4 linked regions of the Drosophila melanogaster genome follow. The protein of the gene in region 1 purifies or fractionates together with the protein of each later gene. This does not show direct contact. Each region holds a gene or a part of one and is shown in the gene's direction. Other genes may lie near its edges.

Evidence for each region.
Region 2: the proteins of numb (region 1) and aPKC purify together in Drosophila melanogaster (affinity purification with western blotting, with the first as the bait; 2 studies listed by BioGRID). This does not show direct contact.
Region 3: the proteins of numb (region 1) and mira purify together in Drosophila melanogaster (affinity purification with western blotting, with the first as the bait; 2 studies listed by BioGRID). This does not show direct contact.
Region 4: the proteins of numb (region 1) and AP-2alpha purify together in Drosophila melanogaster (affinity purification with western blotting; 5 studies listed by BioGRID). This does not show direct contact.

Annotation. Positions count from the first base shown.
Region 1 is NT_033779.5:9,447,879-9,453,064, forward strand, and holds the start of numb (numb), read left to right. Parts: upstream 1-1,951; 5' UTR 1,952-2,503; intron 2,504-2,717; 5' UTR 2,718-2,742; intron 2,743-5,186.
Region 2 is NT_033778.4:14,955,389-14,960,677, reverse strand, and holds the start of aPKC (atypical protein kinase C), read left to right. Parts: upstream 1-2,221; 5' UTR 2,222-2,434; intron 2,435-5,289. UniProt on the Drosophila melanogaster protein: Serine/threonine protein kinase which is required for apico-basal cell polarity in the germ line as well as in epithelial and neural precursor cells, for epithelial planar cell polarity and for cell proliferation.
Region 3 is NT_033777.3:19,931,283-19,936,896, reverse strand, and holds mira (miranda), read left to right. Parts: upstream 1-1,898; 5' UTR 1,899-2,223; coding exon 2,224-4,713; 3' UTR 4,714-4,863; downstream 4,864-5,614.
Region 4 is NT_033779.5:408,139-414,741, reverse strand, and holds AP-2alpha (adaptor protein complex 2, alpha subunit), read left to right. Parts: upstream 1-1,856; 5' UTR 1,857-1,917; coding exon 1,918-2,017; intron 2,018-2,083; coding exon 2,084-2,295; intron 2,296-2,504; coding exon 2,505-2,960; intron 2,961-3,023; coding exon 3,024-3,613; intron 3,614-3,681; coding exon 3,682-4,615; intron 4,616-4,668; coding exon 4,669-4,952; intron 4,953-5,005; coding exon 5,006-5,210; intron 5,211-5,276; coding exon 5,277-5,354; 3' UTR 5,355-5,866; downstream 5,867-6,603. UniProt on the Drosophila melanogaster protein: Adaptins are components of the adapter complexes which link clathrin to receptors in coated vesicles. Clathrin-associated protein complexes are believed to interact with the cytoplasmic tails of membrane proteins, leading to their selection and concentration.

The DNA of each region.
Region 1 (5,186 bases):
CAAATGATAATGGACATAAGCTTTATATAACTAACATCTTCTCGTGTTTTGAGTAAATCAATTCATAAGTATGCACTTATTATGGTTAATTTTGATTTTATTACTTTTTGAATAACTTATCCCAAGCTCGAAAAAGTTTGAAAATTTTATGTCATCTTTTAATGAAATTTGGAAATATTTGTATTATTAAATGATAGCAATAAGAATTTACATTTTTTCTGAGTGCAAGTCTGCTTTTTTCATCAGTTGCAGCACTTTGTTTTTTCTGCATTTAAATTGCGATAATGTTGGCGCGATTGGGTGCCATGTGTAGGTAGCAATGGTTTGCTCCCAATAGTTTTGATACCATTCTTTTTACTACCTGATTTTATGGGCTACCTGGATTAAAGTCGCTGCTGCATTGCAATTTTTCGCACGTTTCATTGCTGAAAACTCTCTTATTATCTATATGTATGACTGTCTCACGCGCACATTTGGGTATTTATCTTTCGGAGTTATCTATGTTTCTCTTAGGGTACAATTTTCTCTTAAAGAGCGAACGACCTTGCATCGCGCGCTCTTTTGTTCTACGGTTTCGATCGATCATTTTGCCATTGTTGTCACGGAATTTAGGTTGGGCAACTAATTCAAATCGATAAGTTCAATACATTGATTACCGAGCCTTGATTATTGTTCAGTTAATCAGTTTTTATTCTTTTCATTTGTTTTGTATGTCCGTTGGGATTTCATAACCACCTAGCCATCTTTTGCATTTTGTTAATAGCTAAGTCTTTGGTAACTCTCTTTGATGACTCTCTTGAGTGCCATAATCATTTCCATTCAAACCAAACCACTCGCTCTTCATACTCCATGTGGAAAAAACTGGCAGCTGCAGAACCAACGAAACCAACTGGTTTTGAATGCCCTTCTATCACTTCAATGGGGTATCTCAAATCCTGATTTCGAAGACAAAAAAATTTTCGGGATTAGTAATTTTTATTACGCAAGTTTTTAAAGATAACATCCTTAAAACTTGTAATTTTTACACCCGTGCAAAATTCATAATTTATTTTACAAAGTTTCCAAGAATTTGAGCGCTGCTAAAGAAAGACGACTAAAGACAATTCCGAACTTTAAATCCAAGGCGTATGGGTTAGCGATAAATCTGAGAGCCAGAGATATTACAAAACAATAAGAGGACCTTTTTGAACTACCCGGCTTTGTAATTATCTTAGCACTGGCCCATTTGGGAAATTCCCAGAGTTAAATAATAAAATTGAGCTCGTGTTTTCCAAGAATTTTCTCAACTTATCCCAACCGCAAATCTTTTAAGCCACGGTCACCAAATCGCGATCTCTAAATGCAGCGCATCTGAGATTATACCTGGCCGAGATACCTTAAACGCCACTCTCGCTCGCTCAACTTCTGCTATCTCACTCCCACTCTTGAAAACCTACAAGCTGCAGAAACGCGTCGCAGTTTTATCATTATCACAACAAATACAAACGCAGCAGAGCGGAGGTGAGATGGAAGAAGCAAAACGACGTCGTCGTTGGTAGTAAATAAACACAATGGAACTGAGCAAATCCACAAACGTACTGGTGCACTGAAAAAATCACTTTAAAGTTTTAAGAGGACTTAACAACTTGTAATATAATAAATAAAATAAAACACTATGATAATAATGGCTTAATAGGTTGTATTAAAAGCGCGTAATAGAATAAGGCAATACCCTTTGATGACGACCTTTTCCAAATCGATAGAAAAGTAGTAAGATCACTCTTCCCTCAAAGTGATCTTAACACCACATTTAGTTGAAATCAGGGCCAATTTGTTCGATTTTTCTCAGTGCACACACACACAGGCCGAAACACCCTGTAACAGCTGTCGCTCTCTTCCGCTCTTTGCACGCTCGCACTCTTTCCTCTCGACTCAAACAGCGCTGAGCGTGCGGCCAGAGTCAGCCAGTACAGTAGAGCAATTTGAGCCGCCGCATCGAGCTAACCGCTTACCGCTTGCCGGACAAACGCGTTCCGTTTTCCCTCCGCTTCCATTCGCTTTCGGCCCACTGTCGTCGTCGGTTGTCCAAATGTCCGCGTAGGGATAGTGTAACCTTTTTCCAATTTCCGGGGGGGTCATAGTAAAAAAGTTAACACCTAAGTAGTCCAGGCCTTTTGGGCCAAGCCGATCCCAGCCATCCATTTACCGGGCACCGGGCTCTTAACACGGGGATCGTTTTAATCGGTGTCGCGTTGTCGTTATTTCGGTTTTTCGCGATTTTCCCCACATTCCGTGTGCTGTGTGCTGTGCGAGGTGTTCTTGGAATTAATAAATAGTTAAAACCGAAACGTTGGCAAAAATCCACTGAATGAGCAAGAAAGTTATATAAGGCCCGAACCGGATTTATTTATTAATTATACATACGAATGTGATCAAAACAAAAACAGACTGACAACAAAACTCGGCTTTTTGGAATATACCAAAAAAAGCAACTCAAATACAAACCGATCCCGATATATATATGGTAAATGTTTAAAACCAAAAAAAAAAAAAAAACAGTAACAACAGCCAAAGTTGAGCTTAACTTGAGCTTCGGATTTAAAGCCAAGTCAAAACGAGTTTATTGTGGTGCAAAATCAGATTTGCATATACATATGCAATTCTTTTACAGCTTTACGCTAGTTGTTGCTGCTTTGACATTTGTAAAAACATAATATTCATTTTTGTAATAATTCCAGTTTTTGACGTCTTCAATATGCATTGGTATAGAAAACTAAAAACAGCTGTTCAAACTATGTAACACTATACTAGACTTTGCTTCGCAATAAGCTAAAGTATTCAAAATACGTTTTGGGGCATTAATTTTAATAATCAGGGGGAGTATATCCATTAAGGTTATAGCGATACCAGTAATTTAGAATGAATTACCCAGCTAAAAAACTCAATAAATCTTTGCAGTTTGCACTTGAACATAGCAATTGTTGAGAGAGGGTTAACAAATGAAATATATAAACACAATTAGCAATTAGCTGATTTTGGCTGGATCACATGAACGCACATACATACATACGCACATACGTACATATATATCTAAAAAGTTACGATTGACTGGATTCTACTGGTCTCCAGTCTCTCACGTTTCCGAAGATGAATCATTTGGCATGACTACAACTCTTCGAATCGATCGTATATAAAGACTATTTAGACTATTTCAAATATAGTCCCACATTTCAGTTTAAAATCCAATGAATTTCTGCCGAAGCATGCACATATTCTTACCACAAACTCTTCTCCCAGCTCTTTTGTAAAGTTAATTTATTTTAATGTATACTGTGTGCCAAATTATTTGACTGTCAACTGCATAAATTACTGCGATAACAAACAAAACGAAGAAAAAAAAGAAAAGTGGCAAAGGCAAAATGGAAAATGGGGAAAATTTCCCATTGAAATGAGTAATGAATTGGTTTGGGGCGGCTGAGAACGAAACCAACCGAGAGTGGGTGAAAATATATTATAATAACAGTGTAATTAAATGCCAACTTGGCCCCCGCTTTCGCCAGAAGAGAGTTTTTTGCAGCCGCAAACTATGGGATACTTTTGCTTTGCATAATTATGCTGTTCAACTTGATTTACTCGGAATGTTCTTCAAGATCTTGAGTTTCCACCAAAAGGGCTCCCTGATTTATGCTGCACTTTTTTCTTTTTTTTTTGGTAGCAATGCTTTGCAGCCTGGTCAGATTATAAATCTCAGCAGTTCATAAAAACTTCAGGCAAAAAGCTCCAGCAAAAACCATTCAGAAACATTCCAAGAAAAGCCAGAAACACGAACGAAAAAAAAAACTGGTAACAAGCCGAGGAAAAAAGTAAGAACATAATGCTACCTGGGTGCAGTTGGACTTGAGTTAAGCCAACTCTGGGATGGTGGAGCCGCGTCGAATGGAACCGGTTTGGTGGCTGGCTGGCAGCCAGCCGACTCCAACTTTTCTCACATGCCTTTCGATTATGCCAAGTCGACTGCATTCTTCGAGACGCGGCTTTCGCTAAACGTTTGGCTAAGACCGAGCTCTCAGCTCTCAGCTCCAAGCTCCAGCGCCCCATCCTCGAGCTCCATCCCATCGCTCTGCAAGTTCAACACTCAGTCGAGGAGTTAGACCTCAACTTCAACTTCAACTTGATCGCTGCCTCGGCTGTGGCTGCATAAAACTTTAATTTCATGGAATTTCCTTTCTATTTTTATGCTGCAACGCCGATGATTAACAACAGCAGCAGCAGCCAGCCAGCCAACTGCCAACAAAGAGAGACGTTGGACAAGTCAAGAACACGGGAACAAGTCCAAGACCAAGTCTAACTCCAAGTCATGGCTGCCAGCTAGAACTTCAACTTCTGGGCCATTAACTTAGCTCTGGAGACGGGACACAGCGGGCATGTGGCACCTGGCATTCTACATCTAAGGCAGGAAATTAAAAATGCAAAAAATTGGATAATTATGCATGTAAACGTTTTGTCATTAAGTTGATACTTAAATGCTGCGTCGATTAACAGGCAGATTTTAATAGAAAATAACGCTATTAAATCGGCCTAGAAGACACGGGGATTCCTTTAGGTGTCCCCACTTGTATTTCTTTTATAAAAACCACTTGCAATTGCTTTGAAAGTCTGCAAAAAATTACAATTATGAACCTTAAAGGGTATTAGAGAGTTTGTAACTTTTTGTTTATACTTGGCATTTTTCTTGCCTGCCAATAGCTAACTAGCCGTAAAGCTGAACAGCAAACATTTCGCATTAATGCCAAAAACTTTTCTCGCCTCTCGAAGACCCGACTAAGTCGACACGCCAACTTGGTAATAACTTGGCCTTGGCTTGGCTAAGTTGGCCAAAGCCGCAGCGCCTTAAGAATGTCAAAGGGCATGCTTGGATATGATTACGAGAATTTCCGTTCCTAGCTCCTTTTTTATTGCCTTTAATGAGCCAGTTCAATTTCCGGTCTGTCAGCTGGTTGTGCGCTGATAAAGGATTAATCTTATATAGAAACTATAGTTTGTCAAATTGTGTATGTAATTACTTTAGCTCTGATATAAAATTCTATTGAAATAGAACGTTTATTTACCTATGCCAAATTCTTATATGTAACCCAAATACCGTGACACACCTGTTCGCCTGGCTTATTAGGCAAATAGGGGACTATTTGCGCCAGTATTACTGCGCC
Region 2 (5,289 bases), on another chromosome or scaffold:
TAAGTTTTCGCCAGCTTTTTTTGGAATTTTAATTTTCCTGTTGTGCGGTTTTCGGCGATCTCACTCATGCACACTCTGATGCGAGTTTTGTGCTTAATTATGCCTGCCGCAACAACAAAAAGGTTTCACTTACCACACTCGTTTGGCGAATGACAAACACAAAACCCTTTTATACAGTAAATTACTAAAAAAACGAGGGCCTGAGGTTAAAGCATAATAAACAAGGAATACACTCTTCTTGGCTACGAATGTAGGACATTTTAGTTTTATTGGGTAAGATACTTAAACTGATACTTAGTACCCAAAATTGTTTTTACCATTTAATTTTATTGAGTATTAATATCCCTTGCAAAGTGTAGTTCTTATTCAAATTTTTCCGAGTTATCCATATATCCTTAACCATTTCATACCTGTGGTCATTCTGTTTTTCCGAACACCGATATGTAAAACAAGAAAAAAGCCAACTAACGGCCCAGCAGATATGATAACTGCCAGTCGCACTAAACAAAGTTCGTGGCTGGTGTGGGGTTTTGATGGAGAGGGTGTTACAGTTTCCGCTACCCTTTTTATGCGGCTTTGTTTTTGTTCTGGGGAGCAGGCTTCCTGATATTTTGTGGCCAGTCCACATCTTCACATATGTACATACATATCTCCGAATGACAAAAAAGAACAGTGTGTAAGGACAACATGTTGGTTGTTGTTGTTGCATACCCGGTACTTTTCAAGGGGTATGCTGTATTCGTTAAAAACAAGCGTACTCCAAGTTCTTTATTCATCTATTTTTCAGGACATATCCCAAAAATTATGCTACTTAAATATTCAATTGCCTGGTAGTGGGTAGCTTTTCTGTCGCAACACTTGACAGTCTCATTCTTTCTTGTTTTTATTCTTGTGTTATGTGGCCACGTGTGAAAAAATGCGGCTTAAAATGTATTAAAAGTATTCTGTGTGCGTCTGTTTTCCTGCGACTGTGTGTGTGTGCGTACGGGAGAGGGACATTGTCAAGGTATTACGTTACCGTTACACGCACTCCTGCATATGTTAGGATGTCCTGTCTGTGTGTTTGTATGCCGCACATGTTTTCTGTTTGTGTGCTTATTGTTGTTGTGTTGATTAGTAAATGGCTGTTGGTGAGTGTGTTTTGCATTTATACAAGCCCGTGTTTTGACTTCTCTGTTGTTGCTTCTCTTGTTTTTTGGTTTCGTTTTTTTTTTTTAATTTTTTCTTATGTTGGAAAGTGTGTTTCCGTAGAACTTCGCTTCACCTTCCGGCTTCATCTCCGCCCAGCAAAAACCTCTGCAGCTCTCCCAAAAACAAAGCAATACAAAAAGTTAGAATCTGTAAGCTAACGGTATAATTTATGCGCCTGCAATATGGCAACGCTGTCCGGCACACACTCACACACATACGCATATGTACATGAAAAACTTTTGTCCAGGTCCGAAGAACTTTTTTTGCAGCTCATAAGGTCGATACACAAGATGCCATTACCCAAGAGCGAGACAGCGATGGCCAACAGAGAATAGATGGAAGGACAGAGAGAGAGAGAGAGCGAGAGAGCATTTCCCCAGATGCCACAAAAAACAGCTGAGCCAAAGAGAAAGGTATTGCCATCCATTGAATCTAAGATGGCAATGCTAAAGCGCCGGTCTGCGGCTTTTATTTTCGCTCTCTCTCCAAAAGTGAAGTATATTCACAAGGCCACGACAGGCTGTTTGGAGCTAGAAAGAGCGGGGAAGGGAAATTTTCTTTTTCCAATCCTTGGACGAGGACTGAATTTTAGTAACATCTGCCCCACTCAGTTCCGGATCATTTGGATCACCTTCATCCATCGAAACGGATCCGGAATTGTAATTTCAGATTATAGAATTCTTACTTTACTCTTACTCTGTTTACGTGTTGGAATAAAAAATGTTTTTAAAAATTATATTTTTCATTTCTTCATTTTCGAGACAGTCATAGCAAAATAGCTTACCTAAAATGAATTGTTATAAAATATTTTTTTTAATAATAATTTTTTTATAGTCATTCATTAAAAACGTCTACTAAGAAACTACTAAAAGAACAAAACATTTTTTCTCAAATTATCTAGTTTCTTTTTTCGCTCTTGCTCTTTACTTTTTCCATTCGCCGAGACTCGCTCTCAATAGCTTTCTCCATGGCTTTCCGCTACATTCTCCCCGAAAAATTTCCCTAGCATACTTCTCTGCATCGGCATTTCACTCGCGCGTTGGCCGCTCGCCTGTGTGGAAGTGCCGTGCGGATTTCGATTCGAAGATATAACTCCCCGGGCCTTACAAACAAATACATAATTATAGATATATATATACATATACATATATATGTATACAAATATACAAGATTTTGCACAGCTAAACGGCAAATCGAGTTTCTGCGCTGTGAATTAACAAAAGAAAGCGGAAAAATCGAAGTTGTATGTCGGAAAAGGAGTACAAATCAGTGAATAACATAATTCCATATAATTATTTTCTTAAACATTTCCACTCGCTCTTCGGCAAGTCACGAAAATCTTGCGGAAAAAATCAATTGGCCCTGTGCAATATTTTTTGACTGTTCTGCCGAAGTTGTCGTACATTTCTGATTAGTTGCCATACAATTTTCCGCTGAGAGAAGGGGTCGGAAAATGGGGAGGTGGAAAGGCAATGGACGTGGAATGATTAACATAATTTTGTGAATGTTTCTTTAATGAACGTTTTTTAGTGCTGCTAATGAAGTAAAAACTTTATGAAAGAGTTACCCCAGAGATGTGATGGAATTTATGACCGTATCTCGCAAAATCAATATATTTTGAAAGATTATAATTTACCCCTTTATAAAGTATTAATAATAATAATTCATTCTTGTTAAAAAAAAAATTGAATATAAATATGGTTTTTTAGTTTCTATTAATAAAATCCTTGCTTTTATTCACTTTCTTAAAGTATAAAAACGTAAAAAACAAAACGCAGACAAAAACGCAGGTGAAATCCCACACACTAAGCATTTTTCTTTTATATTTTAAATACCTCAGTGCAATACAATTAAAGTTCTAGAACGCTTTAAAAACATACCATTTCCTATGCCTCTATCATTTTGCACTTAGACAAAGGGGAGCAACCACGATAAAAAAATCAAAGAATTGATTTCCATTTTTGTGGGTTCCCTTACACTTTTTCTGCATCACGCTGTTCACTTTTTTCCCAAATTTTTTGGCTGCTGTGCGCCAGACACTGGCAAACAAAACCACACACACTCGCACACTCACACACACTTGCAAACACATATGACGCAAAATGAGGCAGTGTGTGTGTGTGTGTGCGAGTGTGTGATGGTGTGCGAGAATCCCCACCCTAAACTTGACCTCAGGCATTTGCACTTCATCAAGCGCTTCTTGCACCTCGGCGACCGTCTGGTTGCCCAAACTTGGCCCAAACCGACTATACTATATAGACGAGATGGATCCATTTCGTATGCATACATACATATATGTAAGGCATATATGCACATATACTATATATATTTATGTACATATACATATGTATATAATATGAGTCAGTGGGCTAGTAAGAAGCTGCAGGGCGAAACAATTTCTTTTTATTCATTCTTTGCGGAAAGCGTTTTGCTGGCCAAGCTGTCGCCCTGCCATTTAAACTTGTTCGTTTCTTTTTGGCCCGAAGGCTTTCACTCGAACCAGGTGTGTGTGCGTCTCCTTTTGCCAAAGTTAAATCAGCAAATTTCCACTGCTTTTTTGGGTACCCTGGGGTTCTGTTTTTGGTCTGTGTTCCTTTTCTTTTATTTTAGGTTTGCCTATGCAGCCTCTGGCAGATTCGGTACCCAGTTCGCTTGCTAGCTGGCCCCATTATGATTGTTGGGCAAATTTTAATGATGCCATTGGGCTTAATGAAATTATTGTTAGTTCAGCAAACAAGAAAGCCCATTTCGGTATTGTTAGGGGATCAGTGCAAATGTACGGATGTGGGCGGAATTGGTTGCTGGTCATATGTATATGCCTCATTACGGATGCCTATATCATATCGTTGATGCAGAGAGAAAAAGCTATAATTATATTATATTATTAATCATACAGTAAAATGTACAACTTTGAGGACCTTATGCTTAAACTTTAAGCTTTACGAGTCTCAATACTTACATTTTATTTAAATTTGTTTAAGTTGCACATACACAACAGTGTCAAATTTTTCTAGATCCCTGAAGCTCGATTACTATCTGTTTAGCTCTGTTTTAATATAATTTGTATCCATCCATGAAGTTGTTAATATTTATAGAATAAACTAGCGTCTTTATTCACGTTTTAAGGTACATTTCGCAGATGGGCATTCTTTCTGTAAGTGGGAACTTTATGGCATTTCCATTTTGCCGCTTTTCTCTTTTTTAAGCTGTGTGAAATTTTATATCCACTGGAGGTCGAGGTGGGCGGCAGGTGGCAACTCGCCCCGCTTGACGTCACTCGGAAAAGCCAAATTGATGTTTAACTATTGATGCCTCTGGTCCGGAGTATCTGGTATCTGTTGGCCCAAAGATGGTGCCGCAGTCCTTTTGGCGAACATCGCCTGCTCAGGTTTATCGTTATGGTTTCACAGGAAACCCATCTCCCCAAACGCTTCTTTGCCAAAGTTCAAGAGTGGGCGGATGATTGAGGCGCTGGAATGGTCAATAATTCGTGGGCGTGGCGGGCTAAATATCCAAATTTGATGGGTTTCTGATGTAAGCAGTCGTGTGCTTATTTAGGCCATTGAAATTCTTGAATGAGGCCGTAAATAATAAACAATAGCTATTGGGAATATCTAATCAATAGCTTTTTGCTTTAAAAACGCAGCTTTATTGATATTAAACATTTATGGCAGCATTTTTATTAGGCCATGCAATGCAGTGAAAATATATTAAATTACCGAAAACAAAAAACAGAAAACTTAACTTAATCATGTAACAAATTGAAATCAAGAAGTATAAATAGAATAGGATTTAAAGACATCTATTGTGGGCACTTTCCCTATGCAGTAATTAACTAATCGGCTTAAAAACTTTAAAACAAAGCGTGTACTTTAAGCTTGTTAAATAATTTTCTTGTTTGTAAATCAGCTTTAATCTAGCTTAGAGCTGTGGGATTTTAGGACTTTGGTTAGTCCAACAAAAGAGGTTTCTATGGATGGAGCCAGGAAGGCTTTAGTGTAGGTGGCTGGACTGTTGGGTTGTTTGGGATGCTCTGTTCCCATCCTGGACAAACAAGCAGGCAACCAATATTCATGCTCCAATTGCAGAGAAAACAAT
Region 3 (5,614 bases), on another chromosome or scaffold:
GTGTTGTGATGACATTGGCTCTGGCTCAGGAGAAGTGAGAATGGATCCCATGGAAACATCATTAGATCGCGTTACCTTATAGCGCGTTCAATGAATGGTAGTTATGCATGGACAGGCATGGGAAAATGATGTTGAAGGTGTCGCGGCGTAGGGTAAATGTCATTAACATCATTAATATTACTGTGAGTCCTGCACATCATTGGATCAGCGAATAATGAAAACCCTTTTTCGTAAAATTTCCATTTTTATTATAAGAGAGTTTGGGAAAATCAAATGCAAATATGTTTATGGGAAAATATTACCTCTATGAAACCAAAGGATGGTTTCGTAACCTTATATACATACATATTATGTACATGAACTATATAAATTGACAAAGGTTGTGAAGCATAAATATAAATTAAAAAGTAATGCTTGAGTATTAATATTCTATTGATTTCCAAACGATTTCCCTTGTCCTATGGCTCCCTACATTGTCTTTCTACATTATAATTCTTTTGCACAGCTGTGTGTGGCTGACCCACCCAGAATTTCATGCTTGTCTGCTTTAACCTAGAATTATCACCTCCCAGTTGCTAGAATCTTCCGGTCATTGTTTGCCATCAAAGGAACAACCAGCTGATTTCAGTTGGCAGTTGTGACAAACTCACTGGAGAAAAGAAGTGAAAAAATGACAGGATGCACAGGCAGCTACCGCAGGATCAGCAGGATATCATGAGGGGGTTCTCTATACAGATTATAGATGGCCGATTGCCCAACTGCCTAGCGATATCACATGAAAAATCAATTTTCCCGACGCATTTCCATTTTCCATGCAATTCATTTAGCCTCAATTCCATTCAACTCATTGCGCAGGCGCAACTCGCCCATTTCCGACGCATTTTCCTTTAATTATGCGGGCATCGGATTTCGTATCAAATTAACGAATTATGCTGGCTGCCAGCTGTGTTGGAGCTAACGGATGAGGCAGTCCATCCAGCCATCAGCTCATATCCTTGTACTCGTAGTCTCGCAATTCTCGAAAGCAATCGCATTTACTTGTAGTCCTCGAAGGAAAGGAGAAGCCCAGGCAGATGTGAGTGAGTGTGTCTCTGTTCGTCGGCAACGGCACATTTCCCATATGTACTTAAGCCGGGGAATGCGGAACCCCGTCGTCCTATCTCCACCCCTACCCATCTTGCTACCCCCACTCCGGTCTCGAACCCTCCTCGTGCTGTCTTGAACTACAATTGCAACATTTGCGCGCGCTAAAATGAAAACATTTCCTTTATATACACGAGGCCGACGTCTTGACAAACACACAGATAAGACGAACAGGGGATCAAGAACTGTGGCACGAACTACCACCAAATAAAAAAAAAATTAGGAGTCGTATAACTCGGCTTACCTGAATTCTAGATACTCTTAAAAGAGGACATTATAGAAAATATATAATATTATATGTTTAATTTAAATTGAAAAGTGGTTAAGATCAGAAGAATTATGCCGTCTGCAAATGACTTGTCTAATATTAAATTAACATTAGAATGTTTAAGGAATATGAAATTTTTGTTCAGCTAATATCTAAAAAATCCAAAATTGTCGTGATATTATTTTCTATGTCCACTAATTATTATATTCAATGTTAATGTTATTAGATTAAAATGAAAGTCCTACGAAATGAAAACCATAAACCATTTTTCGTTTGAAGATCTCGGAAATACCCAACCTGAAATGTTGGGTATATCCCACATAGGTGAAGCAATGCAGGATCGTTGAAGCGACCCCTGCTCGAGCGAGGGTTGTTTTCTTTGCCTCCCCTGGGTCTATCTCGTTTCCACACTCTATCCATCCCTTTTCCACTCGCTGTGCCAGCTGGAGGCTATGTCTGCCTCAGGGATCTTGGACAGAAGGTGAGCTCAGTTAGGTTTTGACAGCGGAACGCGTAGGTACAGTGAAACGGGTAGCAACGGGATAGCGGGTTTAGTGTAGCACAGAACGGACCACAAAGTACAGATGAATTAAATACGACTACAGACTACTACCATATTGTTAAACAGTTTACCTAAAAATCCTAAGGAAAAGATAACCAAATTAAACCGAAAGTTAAAGTTGTGTTTATGTTTGATCGTTGAGTTATTGTTATATCGAAAGTTAAACGAGCGTTGTTAATGAGACATTGATACAAAATCCGAAAAGAATCGTTACCAAGTTAAACCGAAAGTCCAAAAAACAAATTCGAAAATGTCTTTCTCCAAGGCCAAGTTGAAGCGTTTCAACGACGTGGATGTGGCCATCTGCGGTTCGCCAGCTGCGTCCAACAGCTCGGCGGGATCGGCGGGCAGTGCCACGCCCACCGCGTCTTCGGCAGCCGCTGCTCCGCCAACCGTTCAACCGGAACGCAAGGAGCAGATCGAGAAGTTCTTCAAGGACGCCGTGCGTTTCGCGTCCAGCTCGAAGGAGGCCAAGGAATTTGCCATTCCCAAGGAGGACAAAAAGTCAAAGGGATTACGTCTGTTCCGTACTCCTTCGTTGCCGCAGCGCCTACGCTTCCGTCCGACTCCCAGTCACACGGATACGGCCACCGGAAGCGGAAGTGGCGCCTCAACAGCGGCATCCACTCCTCTGCATTCGGCAGCCACCACGCCCGTAAAGGAGGCCAAGTCAGCCAGCCGTCTGAAGGGCAAGGAGGCACTCCAGTACGAAATCCGTCACAAAAACGAACTGATCGAGAGCCAGTTGAGCCAACTGGACGTGCTGCGCCGCCATGTGGATCAGTTGAAGGAAGCCGAGGCCAAGTTGCGCGAGGAGCATGAGTTGGCTACCTCCAAGACAGATCGGCTCATCGAAGCCCTGACCAGTGAGAATTTATCGCACAAAGCTCTGAACGAGCAGATGGGCCAGGAGCACGCTGATCTTTTGGAGCGTTTGGCCGCCATGGAGCAGCAGTTGCAGCAACAGCACGACGAGCATGAAAGGCAAGTGGAGGCGTTGGTTGCCGAGAGCGAGGCACTGCGTCTGGCCAACGAGCTGCTGCAGACAGCGAATGAGGATCGTCAAAAGGTGGAGGAGCAGCTGCAGGCACAACTCTCTGCTCTTCAGGCGGATGTGGCTCAGGCCCGCGAGCACTGCAGCCTGGAGCAGGCAAAGACCGCCGAGAACATTGAGCTGGTAGAGAATCTCCAGAAGACCAATGCCTCCCTGCTGGCCGACGTGGTCCAGCTGAAGCAGCAGATCGAACAGGATGCCCTGTCCTACGGACAGGAGGCCAAGAGCTGCCAGGCGGAACTGGAGTGTCTGAAGGTGGAGCGCAACACCCTGAAGAATGACTTGGCCAACAAGTGCACTCTGATCCGCTCGCTGCAAGACGAGCTTCTCGACAAGAACTGCGAGATCGATGCTCACTGCGATACCATTCGCCAGCTGTGCCGGGAACAGGCTCGCCACACCGAGCAGCAGCAGGCGGTGGCCAAGGTGCAGCAGCAGGTTGAGAGCGACCTAGAGAGCGCGGTGGAGCGCGAGAAGAGCTACTGGCGCGCCGAGCTGGACAAGCGCCAGAAGCTGGCCGAGAACGAGCTGATCAAGATCGAGCTGGAGAAGCAGGACGTGATGGTGCTGCTGGAGACCACCAATGATATGCTGCGCATGCGCGACGAGAAGCTGCAGAAATGCGAAGAGCAGTTGCGCAACGGCATCGACTACTACATCCAGCTGAGCGACGCACTGCAGCAGCAGCTGGTGCAGCTGAAGCAGGACATGGCCAAGACGATCACCGAGAAGTACAACTACCAGCTGACTTTGACCAACACCCGGGCCACCGTCAACATTCTGATGGAGCGTCTAAAGAAGTCCGATGCGGATGTGGAGCAGTACCGAGCGGAGCTGGAATCGGTGCAGTTGGCCAAGGGAGCGCTGGAGCAGAGCTATCTGGTGTTGCAGGCGGACGCAGAGCAACTGCGCCAGCAATTGACCGAGAGCCAGGATGCGCTCAACGCACTGAGATCCTCCTCCCAGACGCTGCAGAGCGAGGTATCGTTGAAGGAGTCCTTGCTCCACGAGCTGCTAGCCGGCGAGGCGGAGACGTTGGCTAAATTCAATCAGATTGCAAACTCGTTCCAGGAGCGCATCGATGGCGACGCCCAGTTGGCCCACTACCACGAGCTGCGCCGCAAGGACGAGACGCGCGAGGCCTACATGGTGGACATGAAGAAGGCGCTCGATGAATTCGCCACCGTGCTGCAGTTCGCCCAATTGGAGCTGGACAACAAGGAGCAGATGCTTGTTAAGGTGCGCGAGGAGTGCGAACAGCTCAAGCTGGAGAACATTGCCCTCAAGTCCAAGCAACCGGGATCCGCCTCTCTGCTGGGAACACCTGGCAAGGCCAACCGCTCCAATACCACCGATCTGGAGAAGATCGAGGATCTGCTGTGCGACTCGGAGCTGCGATCCGACTGCGAGAAGATCACCACGTGGCTGCTCAACTCCTCGGACAAGTGCGTGCGCCAGGATACCACCAGCGAGATCAACGAGCTCCTGTCCGCCGGCAAGTCCTCGCCCCGTCCCGCCCCCCGCACACCCAAGGCGCCGCACACCCCGCGCAGTCCGCGCACCCCCCACACCCCACGAACACCACGATCGGCGGCCAGCACTCCCAAGAAGACTGTCCTGTTCGCCGGCAAGGAGAACGTGCCCAGTCCGCCACAGAAGCAGGTGCTCAAGGCGCGCAACATCTAGGCTATTCCTTTGTAACAACTACTCTATCGTACTATTATAAATTATATACCTTAGCTAAGATCCGATTCGAAATATAATCAATACACGTTGCACACAACACAGCCAGAGGTGTTTCTGAAATCTCTTTCGAGCACTCTCCGACTAAATTCCAAATCTGATTGTTTTCTATCTTTCGCGTTTGTGTTCTGGAAATATGGGACTTACCTAATCTCATAAAAAATATCATTTTGATGCAATGCATTTTAAGGCATGAGAAATCAAATAAAAAATCTGAAAAAGGTGTCTTGGAAAGTGAGACCTTCTTTAAAGCTATTTAAATTAAATAGACTCATCTTTGAATGTAACGAAAATAATGAGAATGCATCAATTATTTTTTCCATTTATTAGCCAATTTATTCATATAAGGTCAAATTATCTGTAAAAAAAAAAAAGAAATAAAAGGTATTCTGATCTAAAATGTAGAAGTGTACAGTATCATCACCTTGAACTTCGTTCTTAAAATACGTTATATCTTGTATATGCATTTAAAAAAGCCTGTACCTAAAGAATCAGGAAATTGTTTACGTTTTTCATACCAACCCCGTGCAACTCGTTTTTGATTTCGATGTGGTGGAATTTTCTCATGCTGAAACTCCTCGTTGAAGAATGAGAAGGAAGGGGTGTGGGCTGCCATGCAATCCGATGGATTCTTGCGACGCTGATTACGCACACGTGTCCCTTGGCACCGCCTTATCCCCGATGGTTACTCGATGGGAACGGTTCCAGAGTTGCGCAGTTCCTTAGTTCCTCGAGCGAATCGGAACAGCTGCGCCTGCGCTTCCTCCTCAAGGGTGGCTTAACTCAACCGTCTTTTAAGAAGGGGCCGAAAACGAAGGGAAATGCCCATGCACCACCAACCACT
Region 4 (6,603 bases), 9.0 Mb from region 1:
TCCACTCTTAGGCAGCGAGAGCGAAGAAAAATCAATAGAAATTTTCATTTTAGTGAATTGCCCTGCACTTGGTAATAGTTAACAAACAAATTAGCGGCAAATCAGCGAGGCGAAGCTCCAGCGAGTTGGAGTTCCATAAAGTGCAACACGCAGGGTCAAACATTCCGCAGCCAACACCCCGGATTCCGATTCCAAGCGAAGCCAACTTCAGAAGTCAGAGATTACTCTCTCTGCTCCGCCACAGAAATTCCGCAACGCTAACCGATTTTGTCCGCTGGCGAGTAAAAAAAATCGGAAAAGTAAGCTCAAAAAAAAAGAACAGCTAACATACGCCCATTAATGTTTTTGGAGGCTTCTTCGGTGCTTTTTTTTTTGGGCAAAACGCCCTCGTCATCCAGCGGTGAAAAAAGTGACGTGACATGAAAGCAAAGAAAGAAGAGAACCGAAGAGCGCAGTGAAAAACAGAAAATAAAACGAAACGGAAAGCAAAGTAAAAAGTATACTACAGAAACAAAAGCCGGTGGTCGCGCAAATCCAAATAATAATGCCCAAGTGCACATCGACTTCGCCAGGCGATAAAAAGTGGGCGAGCGAGGTCACAGAATCTTTATCAACGGGCAAAACGCTGCCAAGTTGAAAATAAATCGGTTGCCAAAAATGCGGGGGTACACTCTACTTCCACCAGAAAATGTCAAAGTTCGCCAGCCATTGGGTGCACTGGCCGGAAAATCAATCACGTAGTCCACTATTTACCGTTTAAAAGTTCTGAGTTTATTAAACATTGGATTTTTTATACATATAAATCGTTATCAGCGCTTGATGCTCAGTGAAATGTGTGGTGCATACATATTTTGTGGCGTTTTCGTTATCAAAAGTAAAACTGCAATACGGACTTTCAAAATAGAAGCTGTATCAATGTGTTGGCATGCACAATAAGCTACTCCCTGGCTAAATACAAATTGTTATCCAAAATACCTTTTGTTTGAATAATATACGTTTGTTAACACAAATACTAAAACGTAATCATAATACTAAGTTTTCCCATTCCCACAACCCACAATAAATAGAGTATCGTTTCCCCTTTCAGGTCCCAAGGAACGGCCGAGATCCAATCGAAGTAAAAAGAGCTTTGCAGAACCAGAGCGGAGAGCAACTATATATCTTAGGGTCCGACGTCGAGTTCGAGCGATAAGAACGCCTCGAGACTCGGCCGCCATCCATTGACGATTTTCTTGCGCCCCCAGTTTGCATAAAACCAGCGAAAATTAACAAGCTAACTACCATGGCGCCGGTGCGGGGGGATGGCATGAGAGGCCTGGCCGTCTTTATATCGGATATAAGGAACTGTAAGTGCAGATCTCTTGGGTAACCAGCATTAAATCCAATTGAGCGGGTCGCAACAAGAGATTTTCCATAGGGGCGGAATCAGCGCCATTACTTGATCAATTACCAGGAGCAGCGCACTGACAAAAACGTGGGGCGGTACAAAAACGCAGGAACAGTAAGCTCTCTGCCAGATGAATTACAAAATATTGGCTACTTTTCTTCTCCATTCCTATGTAAATGTTTTCGTAGTCGTTACATTAGAAAGATATGAGAAAGTTATATATATAGTTATATATATGGGTACAACACAGCAAATAGTTATATCAATGTGAATCGGTTGCCTCTCAGTATTAATAAATACTTACAATTTTGATAGTTTGATGACTTACTGTAGTACTTCGAAGCGTGCATATGTGTGTGCGCAAGAGTCCGACGCTTCACTGTATGGTATTATTATCACAGCTCGTTGTTTGCTGTATGCTCGGTTACTAGTTTCTGGTTTGTGGACAACATATAGGAGAGCAGAGGTTCCGCTGCGGATCGGTGACTGGTACTAATTGACGCCTATGTGAATCGGAGAAAATCCGCGACATGGAGAGAGCTGAAGGGTGTGAAGTCGTCTCTCCGATCGATCAATCGCGGGGTGGAAAGGAAAGCGAAGCTTCCGCAGACGAATCACTGTTGTTTTACTGTGAATCTCCCTTATACCCGCATAAGACACAAATTTCTATACTAATATTCACCCATTTGCCCACAGGCAAAAGCAAAGAGGCCGAAGTCAAACGCATAAACAAGGAGTTGGCCAATATACGAAGCAAATTTAAAGGAGACAAAACCCTCGACGGCTATCAGAAAAAGAAATATGTCTGTAAGCTGTTATTCATATTTCTCCTCGGCCATGACATCGACTTCGGGCACATGGAGGCGGTCAATTTGCTGTCCTCCAACAAATACTCAGAAAAGCAGATTGTGAGTACCCCAAAAAATTGCTTCAATAATCATTTGTTTATTTAGCGAGTCGAAATAATTGAACTGAAAGCAGACGACTCTGCTTGTGGGAAAAGGGAATTTCATTCAATTAAATTTAACTTGTCGTTGTTTGAAGTTTGATAAAAATAATTAAAAAATTGGTTTTTTAAATTTAATGTTACTGATAAAATCTGTTTTTTGAACTTTAGGGTTACCTTTTCATCTCAGTGTTGGTGAACACCAACAGCGACCTTATTCGGCTGATCATCCAATCTATAAAGAATGATTTGCAGTCGCGTAATCCTGTGCACGTTAATCTGGCACTACAATGCATTGCCAACATTGGAAGTCGGGATATGGCCGAGTCCTTTTCCAACGAAATACCCAAGCTACTCGTCTCGGGCGACACCATGGACGTGGTGAAGCAGTCGGCGGCGCTATGCCTGCTCCGCCTGTTCCGCTCCTCGCCGGACATCATTCCCGGTGGTGAGTGGACTTCGCGCATTATCCATTTGCTCAATGATCAGCACATGGGAGTGGTCACAGCGGCCACCTCGCTGATCGACGCCTTGGTGAAGCGCAATCCGGACGAGTACAAGGGTTGTGTTAATTTGGCTGTTTCACGCTTATCCCGGATCGTAACAGCCAGCTACACGGATCTTCAGGTACGATTTAATGCATTTTTTAAGGTAAGAAACTTCTAATTACTAACTAAATTCGCATTGCAGGATTACACATATTACTTTGTGCCGGCTCCATGGCTATCGGTGAAACTTCTGCGATTGCTGCAAAACTACAATCCAGTGACCGAAGAGGCCGGTGTGCGGGCCCGCTTGAATGAAACTTTGGAGACGATTTTGAACAAGGCGCAAGAGCCGCCAAAGAGTAAGAAGGTGCAGCACTCTAACGCAAAGAACGCCGTGCTCTTCGAGGCCATCAACCTGATCATTCACAGCGACAGCGAGCCGAACCTTCTTGTCCGCGCTTGCAACCAGTTGGGACAGTTCCTTAGCAATCGGGAGACCAACTTGCGCTATCTGGCTCTGGAGTCCATGTGCCACCTGGCCACATCGGAGTTCTCGCACGAGGAGGTGAAGAAGCACCAGGAGGTGGTCATTTTGTCAATGAAAATGGAGAAGGACGTGTCCGTGCGCCAAATGGCGGTGGATCTTTTGTATGCCATGTGTGATCGTGGTAATGCCGAGGAAATTGTTCAGGAGATGCTCAACTATCTGGAGACGGCCGACTACTCTATTCGTGAGGAAATGGTGCTCAAGGTGGCCATTCTTGCCGAGAAGTACGCCACGGATTATACCTGGTAGGTGTTCTCTTTTTTAGCTTGTGCTTAAAAGTCTATGTGCTTTATGACAACCGCTATATTACCAGGTATGTGGACGTTATCCTCAATCTAATTCGCATTGCTGGCGACTACGTGTCTGAGGAAGTATGGTACCGCGTCATTCAGATCGTGATCAATCGCGAGGAGGTTCAAGGCTATGCCGCAAAGACTGTTTTTGAGGCGCTACAGGCCCCTGCCTGCCACGAAAACATGGTTAAAGTGGGCGGCTACATCTTGGGCGAGTTTGGCAACTTAATCGCCGGAGATTCCCGCTCAGCACCACTGGTACAATTCAAGCTACTGCACTCCAAGTACCACTTGTGCTCGCCGATGACCCGGGCCCTTCTTCTGTCCACGTACATTAAATTTATCAACCTCTTTCCGGAAATTCGTACCAATATCCAGGATGTGTTCCGCCAGCACAGCAATCTTCGATCCGCAGATGCGGAACTGCAGCAGCGAGCTAGCGAATATCTCCAGCTTAGCATAGTGGCATCGACAGACGTTTTGGCCACCGTCCTGGAGGAGATGCCATCGTTCCCGGAACGCGAGAGCTCAATTTTAGCAGTGCTAAAGAAGAAGAAGCCCGGCAGGGTGCCGGAGAACGAAATTCGCGAGTCGAAGAGCCCGGCACCCCTGACTTCTGCAGCGCAGAACAACGCCCTTGTGAACAATTCACATAGCAAGCTGAATAACAGCAACGCAAATACGGATCTGCTTGGATTAAGCACTCCGCCATCAAATAATATTGGCAGTGGTAGCAATAGCAACAGTACGCTCATTGATGTTTTGGGCGACATGTACGGCAGCAATAGTAACAACAACTCAAGTGCCGTGTACAACACGAAGAAGTTTTTGTTCAAGAACAATGGTGTTTTGTTTGAGAACGAAATGCTGCAGATCGGTGTGAAGAGCGAGTTTCGCCAGAATTTAGGACGATTAGGCCTTTTCTACGGCAACAAGACACAGGTTCCCCTGACAGTAAGTAAATTAGTTTCTGAAACATTCCAGGCATTACATTGCTCTCTTTTCAGAACTTCAATCCTGTGCTGCAATGGTCTGCCGAGGATGCGCTTAAGCTGAACGTGCAGATGAAGGTGGTGGAGCCAACCCTGGAGGCCGGCGCCCAGATCCAACAACTGTTAACCGCGGAATGCATCGAGGACTACGCCGATGCGCCAACAATCGAGATCAGTTTCCGCTACAACGGCACCCAGCAGAAGTTCAGCATTAAACTGCCATTGAGCGTTAACAAATTCTTTGAGCCTACCGAAATGAATGCGGAATCATTCTTTGCACGATGGAAGAACCTTAGCGGGTATTTAATAAGGTGTCTTTTGATAATATTCAATATTAATTGTGCATTTGTAGTGAACAACAACGGTCACAGAAAGTGTTCAAGGCTGCACAGCCACTGGATTTGCCCGGAGCCCGCAACAAGCTTATGGGCTTTGGAATGCAACTGCTGGACCAAGTGGATCCCAATCCAGACAACATGGTCTGCGCGGGCATCATTCATACGCAATCGCAACAGGTGGGCTGCCTTATGCGATTGGAGCCGAACAAGCAGGCTCAGGTGAGTAATTTATTGTTAGATACTTGGAACATAATGCCTATTGCCTATTTCTCAAATTATCAATAGATGTTCCGACTGACAGTTCGGGCAAGCAAGGAGACCGTAACTCGGGAAATCTGCGATCTGTTGACGGATCAATTCTAAGCCACAACAATCATGGACGGGGTGATGGAGACGGAGCTGCGAAGCCATGGAGCAACGGCAACCACTTTACAATGCACAATCCCAATTACCTAGAGAAATATCAAAGCATACAAGGCCCTAGAACTGTACGCGTTTAGTTATGCCAGGCACACTCCTACACTCTTCTTAAGTACCTTTCATCTTCTCCAACAGCGAGTTGATTTACCCACTGTCCTGTTTATTTGAATATTATGTTTGTAAACCTACTCTTACTTTAACCATTTTCAATTTCATGTTCCCAAACTTTTTTGTAAATGTTAAGCTCAAAAAGTTCATAGTAGAGAAACGAGAGAACATAATTAGATTATGTTTATATGTATGACAAATTATATATTGTTGCATCATTTCGAGGCAGTAGCAATTGGATATTATATACCTATATACAGATCTACATACATTCATACAAACCACATACATATACCTAGTATATACGTCGTTGTAATAAAAACAGAAATCAATATAAAACAAAAGAGAAAAGCTTGCAAGGGAATTATTAAGATGCCTGCAAATGACAAGTATGCAAATCGTTATCTAAATATTTATACATATATTGATTATTGCAATTGCATCTAAACGAAATTCATGTTTAATGTTTTTGATTGTAAAATCCAATGGAGGACCGCAAGAGCAGAAATCTCATTAAATAATAGACAAATAATTAGACAGATCCACAAAATCTCCTTGATTAATCACTGTTGAGCAACTTAAAATTTATTAACGATAGGAAAAATTTCCCTATTGAAGAAAACGAAGCAAAAATTTCAGAATATTATTATACTTATAGCAGAATTTTTTGAATGATTCTGGGTAATATTACGTTTCGTTTGTGTACCATAGATAAACTGAGAGGGGCTACTTCATGTTGTGCCGCTTCCTGAAGAGAAAGCGATCTTTGTAGCACCAAGTATTAACTAATCTGAAGCAGCAGCAGCAGTAGCCGCCAGCCATAAATCTGCTAATGACTCTCTTCAAATGCGAGACGGCTGCCGATAAAGAACAAAGAATTGTAAACTAAAATATACACTATATAGATACTGATACTGAAAACCGATAATGGAAACTGACATCAAATACTTATTACCATTAAACTCTCGATCCTTTCGTAAAAACCAATGTGCATGACAGCTGGAAATTTAGGCATTTCCAAAGTGCAATAGTTAAATGTTACAAAATTCCACACAAATTCCATTTAACACTCACAGACAAAACA